Linked DNA regions of Ovis aries. The protein of the gene in region 1 interacts with the protein of each later gene in a pairwise test. Links are inferred from orthologs where the notes say so. Each region holds a gene or a part of one and is shown in the gene's direction. Other genes may lie near its edges. The genes, in order: ARL3, ARL2BP and PDE6D.

What was found.
Region 2: the proteins of ARL3 (region 1) and ARL2BP interact in binary tests that used the Homo sapiens proteins (3 or more experiments, as listed by UniProt). The link is inferred for Ovis aries from reciprocal best matches to the Homo sapiens genes ARL3 and ARL2BP.
Region 3: the proteins of ARL3 (region 1) and PDE6D interact in binary tests that used the Homo sapiens proteins (3 or more experiments, as listed by UniProt). The link is inferred for Ovis aries from reciprocal best matches to the Homo sapiens genes ARL3 and PDE6D.

The regions. Positions count from the first base shown.
Region 1 is NC_056075.1:23,056,709-23,061,723, reverse strand, and holds the start of ARL3 (ADP-ribosylation factor-like protein 3), read left to right. Parts: upstream 1-1,893; 5' UTR 1,894-1,912; coding exon 1,913-1,915; intron 1,916-5,015. UniProt on the Homo sapiens protein: Small GTP-binding protein which cycles between an inactive GDP-bound and an active GTP-bound form, and the rate of cycling is regulated by guanine nucleotide exchange factors (GEF) and GTPase-activating proteins (GAP).
Region 2 is NC_056067.1:24,832,013-24,836,872, forward strand, and holds the start of ARL2BP (ADP-ribosylation factor-like protein 2-binding protein), read left to right. Parts: upstream 1-1,567; coding exon 1,568-1,605; intron 1,606-2,307; coding exon 2,308-2,369; intron 2,370-4,253; coding exon 4,254-4,360; intron 4,361-4,860. UniProt on the Homo sapiens protein: Together with ARL2, plays a role in the nuclear translocation, retention and transcriptional activity of STAT3. May play a role as an effector of ARL2.
Region 3 is NC_056055.1:233,481,596-233,486,368, reverse strand, and holds the start of PDE6D (retinal rod rhodopsin-sensitive cGMP 3',5'-cyclic phosphodiesterase subunit delta), read left to right. Parts: upstream 1-1,573; 5' UTR 1,574-1,736; coding exon 1,737-1,786; intron 1,787-4,773. UniProt on the Homo sapiens protein: Promotes the release of prenylated target proteins from cellular membranes. Modulates the activity of prenylated or palmitoylated Ras family members by regulating their subcellular location.

The DNA.
Region 1 (5,015 bases):
AGAAAGAGAAAAGGAGGGAAGAGGGGAAAATATTGAAAAAATTATGTAACCTACTACCTCTCCTTAAGCAATGCTCGTCCTTCCAGGGAGAGCTGATTTTCTCAAGCAGATAGTATCAGAGTTTGGGAAACAGGCTTTCCAAACTCTTCTAGAGTATCCTTTTGCAAGGGTAGGGGAAGCACCCAAGATCTCCTATTTGAATCCCCTACTAGGGGGAAAAACAAAACATCATTGCTAGTACTCCCATCAGAGGAAGATCAAGGCAGTCCAAGACTCAAACAGTTCAAACACAAAGTCCACTAAGATGTCAAGGGCTGGTGTCAAGGCTACCTAGCTCAACCTGGAGAATGAGACTAATAATTAAACCAGCAGGCCCTGGTAGTATATGCCTATGTACAATCAAATGACCCCCTGGCAGCCATGATGTTAGACTCCAGGCAATTTTGGAAGAGAAGTCTGCTTTGCCTTTTTCACAGAAGAACCAGCAGGCTAGAGATAGGTGGAAACTTTACTTGAATGCATAAAATGTTAAGAACCATTCAGGGAAAATCTGCCTTCATTCCAACGATCTTAACTAGGCTGAAAACCTGCTGGTCTTAAAAGCAGCAAAGCCCAAAACCTGGAGGAAACTATTAACAATAGCTAAGCCCAAGGACTTTCCAGGCATTCCAGTGGTGAAGACTCTGCTTCCACTGCAAGGGCACAGGTTCGATCCCTGCTTGGGAAACAAAGATCCCCACATGCCACGCATGGAGCAGCCAAAAATAATAATTCCTCAAGAGTCAGAAAGTACTGGATTCAGGTCCCCACTCTAACCCTTAAAATAATCAATTTCTAGGGCTGTGAGAATGAAGTGAAATCTTGTATGAAAACCATCTCACTAGGAAGGATGTGATTTCCATGAGGGCCGATTTAGCCCCCTGCTGTGTCTCCAGAGTCTAGACTAAGAGCTGGCACAAATATGGTAATTCTTCTCTGCATGGGGAAGGGGTGGGAAATAGCACCCACAATCTCTCTCATTCTTTCTTGTCTAGAAGTGGAGGCCCATTTTTGCCTCCTTCAGGGCTGCAGACGGCGCACCGACCCTGCCAACTTAGTTCAGCAAAACCATCCATTCCAAACACCTTTCACCCCCGTAAGCGATCACCTCATCCCAGCCCTCACGGCCAGTCCTCAGGCAGCTTCTTGCCCTCCGGTAGGCAGCCTCCCACCACCAGGACTCCTCCAGCCTGGATTCTAACACGGATGTGTGCAGACGAGCGAGCAACCCATGACGCCCCCGCTCCTCAGCCTGGCACACGAAGGTACTGGAGGCCATAAGGGGTCCACAGGTAGCTCCTTCTCTTGCCACGTGGCTTTGGCAGGTGCAAGCCCAGCCCGCGCCGCAGCCTCGCCTGGGCAGAGTCAAGACAGAAATGCAAACTCCCTCCTGGGATCTGGGGAATAAAACCTGGCACAGGTAGATGTTGCAGGAGGCGTCCTCTCAAGATCCTTACCTGGACCCGGGAGAAACAGACTGACACAGCTGCTTCCAGAAGCAGCCCGCTTTGGCAGCCAAGCCAGGATGCACTTCTGGCCTCCGCCCGGGAACCTCCCCTCGCCCCGCCCGCACGCCCTCCCTCTGGACCAATCACAAGCCGGGTGGCCCCCGGCAGCCACGTGGGCGAGGTTTCACCATTCCCCAGGTCTGTGCAGCCCGCCGCCTTCTCCCGCCTCTCCAGCAGCCCGCCTGCGCAGTGGGAGGGCACATTGACGCGCTTGCGCACATTGGGGAAAGCGGAGCTGGACCCCGCCCCGTTCTGCTGCTTTGCTCCTCTGCCGTGCGTACGGGGGACGTCGGGGGCGGCGCCGTCGCAGTTGCCCCTGGTAACGGGGGAGGCAGGAGGAGGAGGAGGAGGGACTCGGCGGGAGGATGGTGAGTGTGAGGGCCTGGGTCCCTCCGGAGCTGGTCGGTCACCTGCTTCCCTTCCCCTGGCCCAAGGCAGGGCACTGCGCTTAAAGACAGGAGGGAACGGACTGGCGCTCAGCCTGATGTCCGGGTCCTGGATTGGTTTCGGGGGGCGGCAGGGAGTCCCGAGTGTGGGCCCTGGAGAGAATCTGGGCCTGGGGAGGAAGGCGGAGCTTGCAACCTGTCCGAAACTAGGGGAAGGGGCTGGAAGGGTGCTGGGTTGTCGCGGTACGGAGCCAGGGCTCCATCATTACTCTGGGGATTGGGATGAGGGCGGATCCGAGGAGCTGCGGAGAGCAGCTTCTGCACGCAGGATTAAATCTTCCCAAGGAATCGGCCTCCCAGTGCCGCAGGAGAGTGGGGTTCACCAGTGCCCGGCTAGAAGCGGGGAGAAGGGCCAGCGCTGCTGTCTTTGAGGTCGCGCTGGCGGTACCAGGGGAGATGGTAGCCTAGCTCTCCTGTTCCTCGCGGTGTGAGGGCCTCTGGGGGGTAAGGGTGTAAATCCCCGGACACAAAGAGGTGCCGCTTGGAAGGGATGTCTGGTGTATTTTAAGCCGTCTCGGTGTCTGAGTGGCGGGCGCGCTTCTGCAGTCCCGAGTTTTTTATTTCCTGAGGGTTCTGCAAGGTCTGGTTGTTGGTGATAGCCAGTCTCCTGTTCAATACGTGTTGGTGGAGACAGATTTGCTGCCCGATCCTTAGTATTTACTTCGGACCTGTTGCCACCTTCCTTTGCATATGACCACACCAGAAGCAAAGGCCTTAGTCTCAGTTTGGAGTAGATTAAAAAAGGAGAGTGGCCATCAGTTTGGGGCTAGCCTTGTCTCTGTCAGGCCAGAATAAAGCTTTCCCAAATACGTAAATTATGTGACGTATTTGACGCTTGACACTGTTCCTTGTTGATTTCTCTGCACTTAATTGGAGGGTATTAAAATGAAATTGAGTGGTTTTAAAACTAGTGGGAGAAACAATTTATTTCGGAGCGTTTGGAGCAGGCTGATAAATTTACCAGCTGCAGAAAGCTAGCACTCAAGCTTACAGTTCCTTCCCTGTCCCAACTCCAGTCCCTTTTTGACTTTTAGAACTGTTGAACCACTTCTATTGATTTATGAAGTAAGAAAAAGCTAGATGTCCAGAAGGAAAAAAAAAAACACATGTACATTTGGTTAGATTATCCAGTGAGTAAATTTTGATAGGAAAAATTTATTTCAATTGATTTAAAATTGTCACATTGTTAAAGAAGTAGCATTATTGGATCTGAAGTTGCCAATCACATTTCAACACTTGCTACACTGCAGTTTTATTAACCTCAGGCTAAACAGATTTTTAAATGTTTGCTTTTTATTAATCGTTTATACATGAGCTGTCCATTTAAAGGCTAAGTTTTTCTCAACAAATGAGTACAAACATAAATATTTACACAGAAAATAACTAGAATTGAAATGAAAAAGGCATGCCAAACCAACAGAGAAAGGCATGGCATCATAAAGGAGAAACGCATGAGAGCGGGCTAACTTTTCCCAGTTTGTTTATCAGTGAAGTGGACTGTGTAATTTCATGACTGTTTAATTTATAATTACAAGCCACAATAAATTAACCACTGTTTATGTTTCCAGGTACAGATTGACACTTTATACAACAAATTGACAGTGTACACAACACTATTGTATACAACTGTTGTATTCAGTGATCAAGACAGATTTTGTTTTTCTTTTTTTAATTTTTTTTCCTACAATAAATAATAAGGAATTAGGGCAGATTATTCAGGAGTCTTCATCTGGTTTCCAAAATACACTTTTTTTCTATCTCCAAAAGTATGAGCTATTTTTAGAACTCGATAAGTGGAACACGGAATTTAAAGGGTCAGTGGTATGATTAAGTATGTCATATCTGATACCCATGGGTCCCCATAGTAACTCTTCAGGAGTTCCAGGTTTATTTATTGTCTTAATCCTTCAGCTATGACTAATACATATTTATTCTTTTAAAATTTGGAATACAGCAACAAAAACACATTATTGATTTCTCTGAACCCCTAGAAGTTCAGCTATTTTACCCCTACCTTAGGATGCCAAGTCCTTGGTGAAATACTAAATTGACCGTAATTTTTGTGCATAACTAATCACTCTTGCCTGGAAAATCCCATGGACGGAGGAGCCTGGTGGGCTGCCATCTATGGGGTCGCACAGAGTCGGACACGACTGAAGCGACTTAGCAACAGCAGCAATCACTGTTAGGAGAAGGCAATGGCATCCCACTCCAGTACTCTTGCCTGGAAAATCCCATGGACAGAGGAGCCTGGTAGGCTATAGTCCATGGGGTCGCTAAGAGTCAGACACGACTGAGCGACTTCACTTTCTCTTTTCACCTTCATGCATTGGAGAAGGAAATGGCAACCCACTCCAGAGTTCTTACCTGGAGAATCCCAGGGACGGGGGAGCCTGGTGGGCTGCGGTCTATGGGGTCGCACAGAGTAGGACACGACTGAAGCGACTTAGCAGCAGCAGCAGCAATCACTGTTATTTAATAGATGAGTCCTCCATTCAGGAATTATTTATGGAGTAATTTCTGAATATATAAAGCTAGTGATATTTATCAAGCATGTTTGACATTTGAAGATTGTTCCCAAGATTATGTTTTCTGGTCAAAAATGGTCGGTGAAAAGTAGAAACATAAACACAACAACTGTTTTGAGTTCCCTCTATGTGCATGCTTCACACATCATCTGATTTAATCTTCATAGCATTCTTCTTGAGATATAAGTATTGTTCCCATTTTCTAGATGAAACTATGCTGGAGGTTACCCATCAGGATGTTGAATAAAAGTCTGTGAAACTCTAAAGCCCATAATGTATTTTTCATTAAGACTCTGATGAAGTAAGAACCCACTCCAGCTGAGGAGATGCCAGTATTTTGTTCCTCAGGGAACATTGTATTTATTTAGTAGAGAGATGAGAAAAAAGATTTGGGTGAAGTTCTCCCTAACAAAGCTATAGGAGTTCCTGGAAATTAACAAGCCCTCATTGGGCAGCACCAATGTTTTTTTGGTGAGGTAAAAATAAACTGAAGT
Region 2 (4,860 bases), on another chromosome or scaffold:
GTAACGAGTTTAGTTCCACACCCCACTGATAGCTATTTTACCTTCATTTAAAGATATCTGTCCATTCAGGCTGGCCATCTGACCCACAGATCAAACGAGGTGAGGTGAAGTCGCTCAGTCGTGTCCGACTCTTTGCAACCCCGTGGACTGTAACCTTCTCTGTCCATGGGATTCTCCAGGCAAGAGTACTGGAGTGGATTGCCATTTCCTTCTCCAGGGGATCTTCCTGACCCAGGGATCGACCCGGGTCTCCCGCACTGGAGGCAGACGCTTTAACCTCTGAGCCACCAGGGAAGCCCGATCAAACATGAACCATATCTTAAAAAAAAAAAAAAAAAAATGAACCATATCTAAAATGTACCACATATTTGGCCAAAAAATAAAATGCAACCGAAAGACACAATGTCTAGTGATCCAATCAGAGAACAGGTCTAGGGTACCCTTTTGTAAAATTGGGCAGTTCGGAGGGGTCTTATCCTGGAGCAAAGTCACCTGATTGCGTTGCTCAAAGTGGTTTTGTCAACGTTAATCTTGCCTAGTTACCCAAGAAACGAGTTACTACCGAATAATTTTTTATGTGAATGTTCATGATGTAAATTACAAGACATCCAGTTCTTGCGGTGGGGCTGGCTTTGGTGGCTGTCTCGCGGTAGTTCCACGAGAGGGAGCAACTATCTCGAAAATCAAATGTCTGCACTATCTGGCTCAAAAGCTAAGGGACTGACTGTGGAAAGACTTCGTGATTTACAGTGCCGGCTCAGAGGTTAAACTATTTGGCTCCAATGTGGGAGACCCAGGTTCGATCCTTGGGTCGGGAAGACCCCTGGAGAAGGAAATGGTAACCCACTCCAGTATTTTTGCCTGGAGAATACCATAGACGGAGGAGCCTGGCGGGCTACAGTCCACGGGGTCGCAAAGAGTCCGACACGACTGAGCAACTTCACTTCAAAAACTAATTTGAATAACAATCTTCTTAAATCTTGTAATTCATTCCCAAGTAGCAAGTGGGTAAATCGAGGCTCTCTCTGGCCTTCCATTCCTTGCTCTTCACATTGGGTACGTCTTGGCTTTAATCGCCCGACAGCGTGGGTATACGTCAGTGAGCCCCTGACCTGCTGTATGCGGCCCAGTTTCCTCTGGCTATCCTCCATCCCTTTGCCTCACTTCCTCTCTCTATCTTTGTCCCGCCCCTGGGTTTGGGTAACGCAGACCTGTGATTGGTTGCTAGGAGCCCCGAGGCGGCGGAAGGGTCGCGGTGGCCATGGTGACGGGAGGCGGGGCGTGGTAACTGACGCCGGACCCAGCGGCGGTAGAGGGGAGTTTAGCTAGGCCTGGGAAGCCCGGGAGGCCCGGCTGGCGTGTGGCCGCAGCCGGGGACCCTGAGGCCGGGACGTCGCGCGCAGGCGCTACCCGGCTGGGCCGTGAGCCGGCCGTGGGCTCGGCGGCGAGGCCTCCCGGATGCCGGTTGGAGCTCTGCGGTGCAAAGCAGGGGCTGCGCCCGGGCCGCAGGCAAGGGTAGAAAGCCCACGGGTTCGCTCCCCGACGCGCGGTGGATGCGGCGGCGGCGATGGACGCCCTAGAGGAAGAGAGCTTCGCGCTGTCCTTGTGAGTCACGCCGCCCGAGCCCGGGAGGCTGAAGGCCGGGGCTGCTGGCGCTTGGCCTAGGCCTCCGCCCTGCGAAACCAGTGCCCTCAGTGGGGGTGGGAAACAAACAAGACTCCCCCCTACCCCACCCCACCCAAGTTCCCGCGGTGGACTCTGCCTCTGCGGCGACCGCGGGGTTTCAGGCGCGGAGGACAGGAGCGCAGCGTGGTGTCGCGCGATGATACACGCCTGTCACAATCCCCCGGTCTCCAGTCCTTAGTTGTCAGCAAAACCTGGTGGGTTTGAGCGGCCGAGGCTCGACCGCGGGTCAGAAGACCCTCCACCGCCAGCACACCACCACCCCCAGGGACTCTAATTTGCCCCTCCCTACCCCGGCCTGTGTGTTGACCGCACCAGGTTTACGCCCGCCCACGAGTAGATTGGTGTGGGGTGATAGTGAAGATGCGGTGAGTAGAACCCACAGGAAATAAATGTGAGGAGCCTTAAGAGGTCTGACGTGAGCCTTGGCACCTTTTATTTGTCCCTCTGTGAGTCCTTGTGTCCCATCAGTTTTCTGAAAGTAGATCCACTACATTAAACTTTGATGTCACTGGTGTGTAAAGTGTGTTTTCTAGAATTCATTTGAAAAGGGCCATAGTACATTTGCGGGGAGGGGGCCAGGAATTAAGCTGAAACAGTACCTAATCCAGGTCTGTTTTTCAGCTCTTCCGCCTCTGATGCAGAATTTGATGCTGTGGTTGGATATTTAGAGGACATTATCATGGGTAAGCTTCCCTACTCCGGCTCGTTAGTTTTTAGACTCTTGCTTTTAACAACATTGAAATCCACTTGTAGAGTTAATTTTTAAAAAGAGAAAACATCATGCTGCATATAATGTTTAATGTGGCATACTGAAATACGAAGTAAGCCGTCCTGTGGTTTGCCTTAAAGTCATATAGCCACTTCTCCTGAAGATAATTGATTACCATAGATTCAGTCCCCAGAAGGGAATCATTCAGGTAGCAGGGCACTTGCAGTTATGGGGCTCATGGCAAAACTTCAGCAAATATTCACTACTTTATTTCAGAGAGTAAGAGTGGTTTTTAGTCTTGAGTCTTAATATTTTTGTGACGTAGAACAGTGTAATAGCATAACCATAGCACATGTGTCCATGAGGAACAAGGTGTCATGCTTCAGCTGGTTCCGTATTTTCCTAGGTCCTGAGTTCCTATTTGTGGATTCATTTGGGCATCCCTGGTGGCTCAGCTGGTAAAGAATCTGCCTGCAGTGCGGGAGACCTGGGTTCGATCCCTGGATTGGGAAGATCCCCTGGAGAAGGGAAAGGCTACCCACTCCAGTATTGTGCCGTGGAGAATTCCATGGACTGTATAGTCCATGAGCTCTCAAAGAGTCGGACACAACTGAGCAACTTTCACTTTGGCATCCATAGGTCCTGCTAAGTATTAAGTGGTAACAAGCATCTCTCATTTAAGACAAATGTGTGGGAAAGAAAAACTTGAAAAAATCTCTCGTATGGGTGACTTTTAAGTTTGCTGAGAATAAGGAAAAGAACACTGTTGTTTAGTGTTATTAGCTGTATTTCTTAGTCTTGTTTAGTGAAAATCACTTGACCCAGTTTTGTACCTTTGGGTCCTATAAAGGTTCATGACCTTAACTCCTAAATACAGATGAAGATACAACATTAAGGTCCCATGTCAATCAGAAGATTCCTGGGGAATGCTGAGGAATACCTGGAGTTCTTTTGGCCTCTACAAGAACCTTGTGTGCAGTGAGGGAAATGAGCTTTCTGTAATCCCAGGGCATTTATTCCTACGTCTAGGCCATTTGTGAAGCATTCCTTTAGTTTTTGGAAAAGATATTCTATTTGGTTGTTGAAATTCCCTAAACCCTAATAAGTGTTTGCTGTGAATCAGTCGCTATACGTGAATCCTCATCTAAATGCCACCTAGCAATCTTTTATGATAGGTACTTTGAAGTTGAAGTTGAAGAAACTGGGACTCAGAGAAATTAACCTGCCCAAGGTTACCCAGTGTTAGTGGTTGAGGTGGGATTTAAACTCCGGTAGTCTAGCCTCTCAGAGAAGGCAATGGCACCCCACTCCAATACTCTTGCCTGGAAAATCCCATGAATGAAGGAGCCTGGTAGGCTGCAGTCCATGGGGTCACTAAGAGTCAGATATGACTGAGCGACTTCCCTTTCACTTTCCACTTTCATGCATTGGAGAAGGAAATGGCAACCCACTCCAGTGTTCTTGCCTGGAGAATCCCAGGGACGGGGGAGCCTGGTGGGCTGCCGTCTATGGGGTCGCACAGAGTCGGACACAACTGAAGTGACTTAGCAGTAGCAGCAGCAGTCTAGCCTCTATCAGAGCCCAGCCATCTAATCACTACACTGTTTCTACCACTGCAGCTGAATTTAAGAGAACCATTTGTGGAGTTCCCAAGCCACCCCGCCCTGAATGGCTGTGTTTAAACTGGGTAGAGGGTGGTGGCAGTGGTTTCACACAGTTTGAAGCCTCTTAATGCCATCGAACTTTACCCTTAACACCGTTAGCTTTCCCTCTCCTAAAGGCTGGCCATTTAGAAAGCAGTTCTGCTGCCATTTAATTCCCACGTGTTAAAAAGAATATGTTTCCTCTTGCGATTCAGATGATGAGTTCCAGTTATTACAGAGGAATTTCATGGACAAGTACTACCAGGAATTTGAAGACACGGAAGAGAATAAGCTCACCTACACGCCTATTTTTAATGAATATGTAAGTGGGTTCCTATTTCTCTTACTGGAGATTAGGATTTCTTTGAAATATGAATTTAGGATTTCTTTAAAATATGAATTTAGGATCAAATAATGCTAAAATCTGCTCAGCTTTTAGAATCTGCCACCAGCACCCTGCTAGGAAGTCTAATTAGAATTGGGTTTAGTCTTCATCACCTATTATTTTCCTTTGCATAGTTCTTGGGGCTGTTTTCCAAATAGTTAATGATCTTGTCTGTTTTAAAAACATGGTTGACTTTATCATAATCCTGCTTTCAGTTACAGTATATGGGCTCCCCATTTCTTGCACTTACATACTTTTGAGCTATCAGCTTTCACACACTATTTTTTCTTACTGCATAATTCAATCAAGTATGCATGACTGTTAGATAAAAGTGAAAACCAAGACTCAGATCACTAACTAGTTGGTGGCAAAACCAAACTAGAACCCAGGAACCTTGGCTCTGGACCCTTGGGTCTTTGCATATGCCAAGGCCCTGT
Region 3 (4,773 bases), on another chromosome or scaffold:
CTTGAACACAGAACAAATCAAAACACCAAGTTTTACCTAGACTGAGGATAAACAAAGACTGCACTCCTTCACTTGCAGGAAAGTCACCAAATAAATGTTCACCTAATATCCACTGAAGAAAAACGTACAACCTAAAACTTGCAAGTAATGTTTTATACAGGGACCTTACTGAGGACTATAGCCCAGGAGACAGCCTCATATAGCCCTGAGGAACTGCTCCAAAAAAGAAAGGGAGGAGCCAGGATATTAGCAGTTTTTGCTGAAAAGAGAGCTTGTAGTTGAACATCAAAAGATTACTGCCAATTAACAAGAAACAGACAACTAGAATGATTTCTGTGGTTTTCTATGCATGGGAAGATGCAAGTGTCTGGGCTCATTGAAATCATTCCCTAGACATGCATCTTAATTATCTAGAGCAAGTTCCTATTTTTCTCCCTCCTGAATCCTCCTCTGGGCCCATTTTCAGCGGTGGCTTCAGTGGCTGATGGCTTGACGGTGGGCAACGTTTGTTGTTTACTGAAATGTCAGGCAACATTTTTTTGTCCACAGTATCCTCTGGGTGTTTCAACCTTGATAGGAAAACTTCACCAAGGAGAGGAAGATCGCATAGCCATGTTGCTAAAAATATCACTACCCTAGTGTAGTGCAAAAAGCCCAGACTGCAGGAGTCTTAGAGCTGAATTTTAACTCTGCCCCAACTTTCTGTGACCCCGACAATCTCTCTGCCTCTCTGGGCCTCAGTTTCTTCATACGTAAAATAACAGAGGTTAGATTAGCAAATCCTCTGAATTCTGACTGCATTGATAGTCTGAGTACACAACCTTTACATCTCTTGGTCCACCGCAGGAGCACACCAGAAATCCCTGAGAAATACCTAACCGGCTCCCCAGGCCAACAAACAAGTACGGCTTGAAGGAGTCATTCTGTTACATTCTTTTTCATGATTTAATCAGTGTTTGTGTTTGTTGTTTCAGCCTTACCATGATTTGCAGGAGATTTCTGGGTTCCATGTAAATAGAAGTTACTTGTCTGTGGGCTGTCATCTTTTGAGGCTGAAGAGGATCTTCCTGCCCGGTTTCAACCCCTGGGATTCAGAAACCACCAAGCCTACAAGCAGATTTAGGGGTTTGCGCACACTGCGCGGCACACTGGAATCGAAGTTAGAGGAACTGAGTGCGGGGAATGCTGGGATTTGTAGTCCCTGGGTTTTCTGTTGCGTGCTGGGATCTGTGGTCCCCCCGGGCGCCCCCTGGAATGCTGGGAAGTGTAGTCTCCACCACATCGCACAGGGCAACGGGCTGTCATCTCAAAGCCCTACTGTACCCAGCCGCAGGAGAGCCTCTGCAAATCTGAAGCAAACTCTCCTCTGGGACAAACTCTAGGTAACCACGCCGAATGAAAATTTTGTCCTACGGGACTTCCCCGTGAGGGCCCTTCCCATTGACGCTCTTCGTCCCCCTGCGAAGCCGCTGAGTGTTTCTATTGGTCGATCAAGATGCCAATCGCCGAGGCAGGCTTCCTATTGGCTTCAAGGCGGGCGCTCAGAGGCTAGAGGGAAGGAGAAGGGATAAGGAGCGGGAGCTGAGGGGAGGGAGAGGCCGGTTTGGGTCTGGCCGCTGCCGCTGTTCTCCCGAGGTCTTCAGGCCGGGCTGCGGCTCCGTCCTCAGTTCCTGGGCACCGTCTGCGAGGCTCCGCCAGGCCAGCGTGAGAGAGCCGCAGGCGGCGGCCGCCGCATCATGTCAGCCAAGGACGAGCGTGCCAGGGAGATCCTGAGGGGCTTCAAACTGTATCCGCCCGGGAGCGGGGCGGGGCCGGGAGGACTCGGGAGGCGGCCGCTCGCTGAGGAGACGGGCCGGGGGCGGGGGCCGCGCCAGGTGGGCACCCGAGGAGAGGGTGGCGGGAAAGGGGAACAGGAACGGCGTCCGGGGGCCCCCGGCGGGACCCGGCGCGGGAGGCGGGGAAAGGGGCGTCTGGAGGAAAGGAGGGGACGTTGATGGGAGACCTGTGGGTAGAGGCAGAGGAGCCGCCGAATGGGGCTGGGAGAGGCTCCGGGCGTCGGAAACCGGAGTCGGGGAGGCGCGCTTGGGTCCGAGAAGGGAGGCCGGGAAGGGGCTGCGGCCCGTAGGGGAGAGCCGAGGGGGCGCGGTGGGCTGACCTCGAAGCCCAGCAGCCTCTGGCGGGAAGCCCACCGGGCAGCAGGGGGAAAAGTGACTTGGAGCGAGTGACCTTGTGTGGGACAAATACAGATGCTGGTGTTGAACTCTCAATGCGAGTGGGGTTCTCGCATCCCACTCCGCACCCCCCAACCCCACCCCAGACGCCACTCCCCTTCTTGTTTCCACAACTTCTCTTCCTCACTTGTGGCTCCTTCCAGGGCTGGAGCGGAGGAAGGTTGGGAGTGAGGAGTCCGAGATGGACCTCACCTTAACTCTGTCTTGGCCCTTGGAGGCGTTGGACGGTCGCTGAGTCTCCCTCAGCTCCTCAGTTGTCTTTCTAGCGAAATGAGGACCCTAGATGTGTGCGTGAGATGCCTTGAGGCGTTTTGGGTTTGCACTGGGACTCCTGGTGAAGGGGTGTGTCTGCTCGCACAAGTTTGTGTGGTTAAGGCGTAGACATGCTGGAACTGTCCAGCAATTGTTTGATTACGTTGGGGACACTGTAGGGTTTAGTAGGGTGTAGAAATCATTGCCTCGGGCCTGTTGTGGTGCTGCAAATACTACCTTCTTACCATAGTGAAACTGTGTTTGAATGGAGTGTTTATCTGTGACCATTTGATGCAGATGGAAAAAGTGCAATCTTCTCCGTTCCAATCTCACATTTTCCTGCTGACCTTAATCTCTTCTCACATCCTATGTTTACAATATGGAACATTCTTCAGTTCGTCTCTTAATGAACATATAGTCATCCCTGTAGGGCTCCTCCCCTGGAGATTTAGTCAAGCACTGTTCTCTGAGCTGACTGTGTTTCCACAGAGTCCATTTCACCCCTGCAGATTTTCATTGCCTTGTCATAATCAGAAACCAAGTTGGTAGTAAGTTTTAGAACCCAGCAGCAAAAAAGTTTAACAGAAAGTTTTGGAGGTACAAATTAAGTTTTTCAAAGGGGAACTGACCTACTATGCTTTTTTTTTTAAGGGAAGGCAATATTACCTAAACTTACTGCCATTCATGATAAACTTTAAATACTTTCATGCAGTGAAGTTTCCTAACAGCCTCTTTTACATATTAATAGCTTCATGTACTTCCCCTGTTTCTCTTCCTGATAGTGCCTATAGATAGGAATGGCTGAAGTGTTACAAAAGCTATGACGTGGATTTTATTTTTCCCTTAAGTAATTTATATTGCTACTTTACATTTATGCTATAAACAGTAAACTGAAGACTATAAAGAATTGAGAGATTTCAGAAGCCATGTTTTTATCTGATTGGAGTTAACATGTTGCTGAAAATAAGAACGGGTCTTTCAAACCAAAAAGGGAAAGTTTGAGCTACTCACCTTCAGTCTTGGTTCTTGAATGTTGTTCAAGAGAAACTTTGGCTCTTGAGAAAGAGGCAAAGGACAAATATGGGAAAGAATAGAAAGTAGAACCTGTGTTGTTTAGTGCATCACGAAACAGGCTTTCAGGGAAAATTTGACCGGGGCTGATTAAATCACATGGGGAGCAGCCACCAAGAAAATTTAGCGTGGAGACAACAGAATATCCTCCTCTGGTAGCTTTTATTCACATCCGAGAATTAAAAGAGAAAAGAAAAGAGTTCTAGGATTTGTTACTACCTTCAGGGAAAAATAAAATTAATATTTTAATAAGAAAATACCTGTTATCCACCTTTTATTGTATAAATTGTTCCAAGTATCTTTTTCTGTAAGAAGAGTCATTTCTACAAAAAGAAATCACCATTTTATTCTCCTGCCAACAATGTTGATAGTACTTATTTTCCACATTTACTGTGTTGGTCTTTTTCTTTTTGTCAGTTTTAACAGTAGATGACATCTTGTTTTAACTTGTGTTTCCCAGATACTGCTATCTCTGGAGAGGTAACAGCATAGTGTTTAAGAGATACGCTGGCTTGAGAGCTTTACTATCTGCAGTGGAATTCCAGCTCAGGTTGTGTGTCCCTGAGGAGCTTCTTTTAACTGCTGTTACAATTTCCTTAGCAGTTAAAAAAGGATAAAAATAGTATCTTATCTCCTAGAGTTATTGTGAGCATTAAATTAGTTGATATCTAAAGCATTTAGCCAAGCACTTGATGCCTGTAAGCACATTGTATTAGCTGTTATCGCTGCCATTGTTATTATTAGAAGTCACAAAATCTGGCCATTTCTTTTTCTTCTGTGAATTGTTTGTTGATTTTGTTTTTGCCCATTTTACTATTGAATTGCGTATTTTTCTTATTGCTTTGTAGGTGTTCTTTATTGTAATGTCAATCCTTTGTGTATATTACATATTGCCAATGTTTCTCTCGACGGTTTACTTTTTTTTTGTTGAACAGAAGTTTAATACTATAAATTCATCAATACTTTTCATGTGACTTTTGAATTTTGTGTCTTGTTTAAGAAGACCTTTCTTATCTTACTGTTAATAAATATCCTCCTATGTTTTTTCTCTTTTCAATGTTTAGCTCTTTAATTCACCTGAAATGTATTTATACATATGGTAGAGAAGTGAAGTCACTCAGTCGTGTCCAACTCTTTGGGACCACATGGAGTGTAGCCTACCAGGCTCCTCCCTCCATGGGATTCTCCAGGCAAGAGTACTGGAGTGGGTTGCCATTTC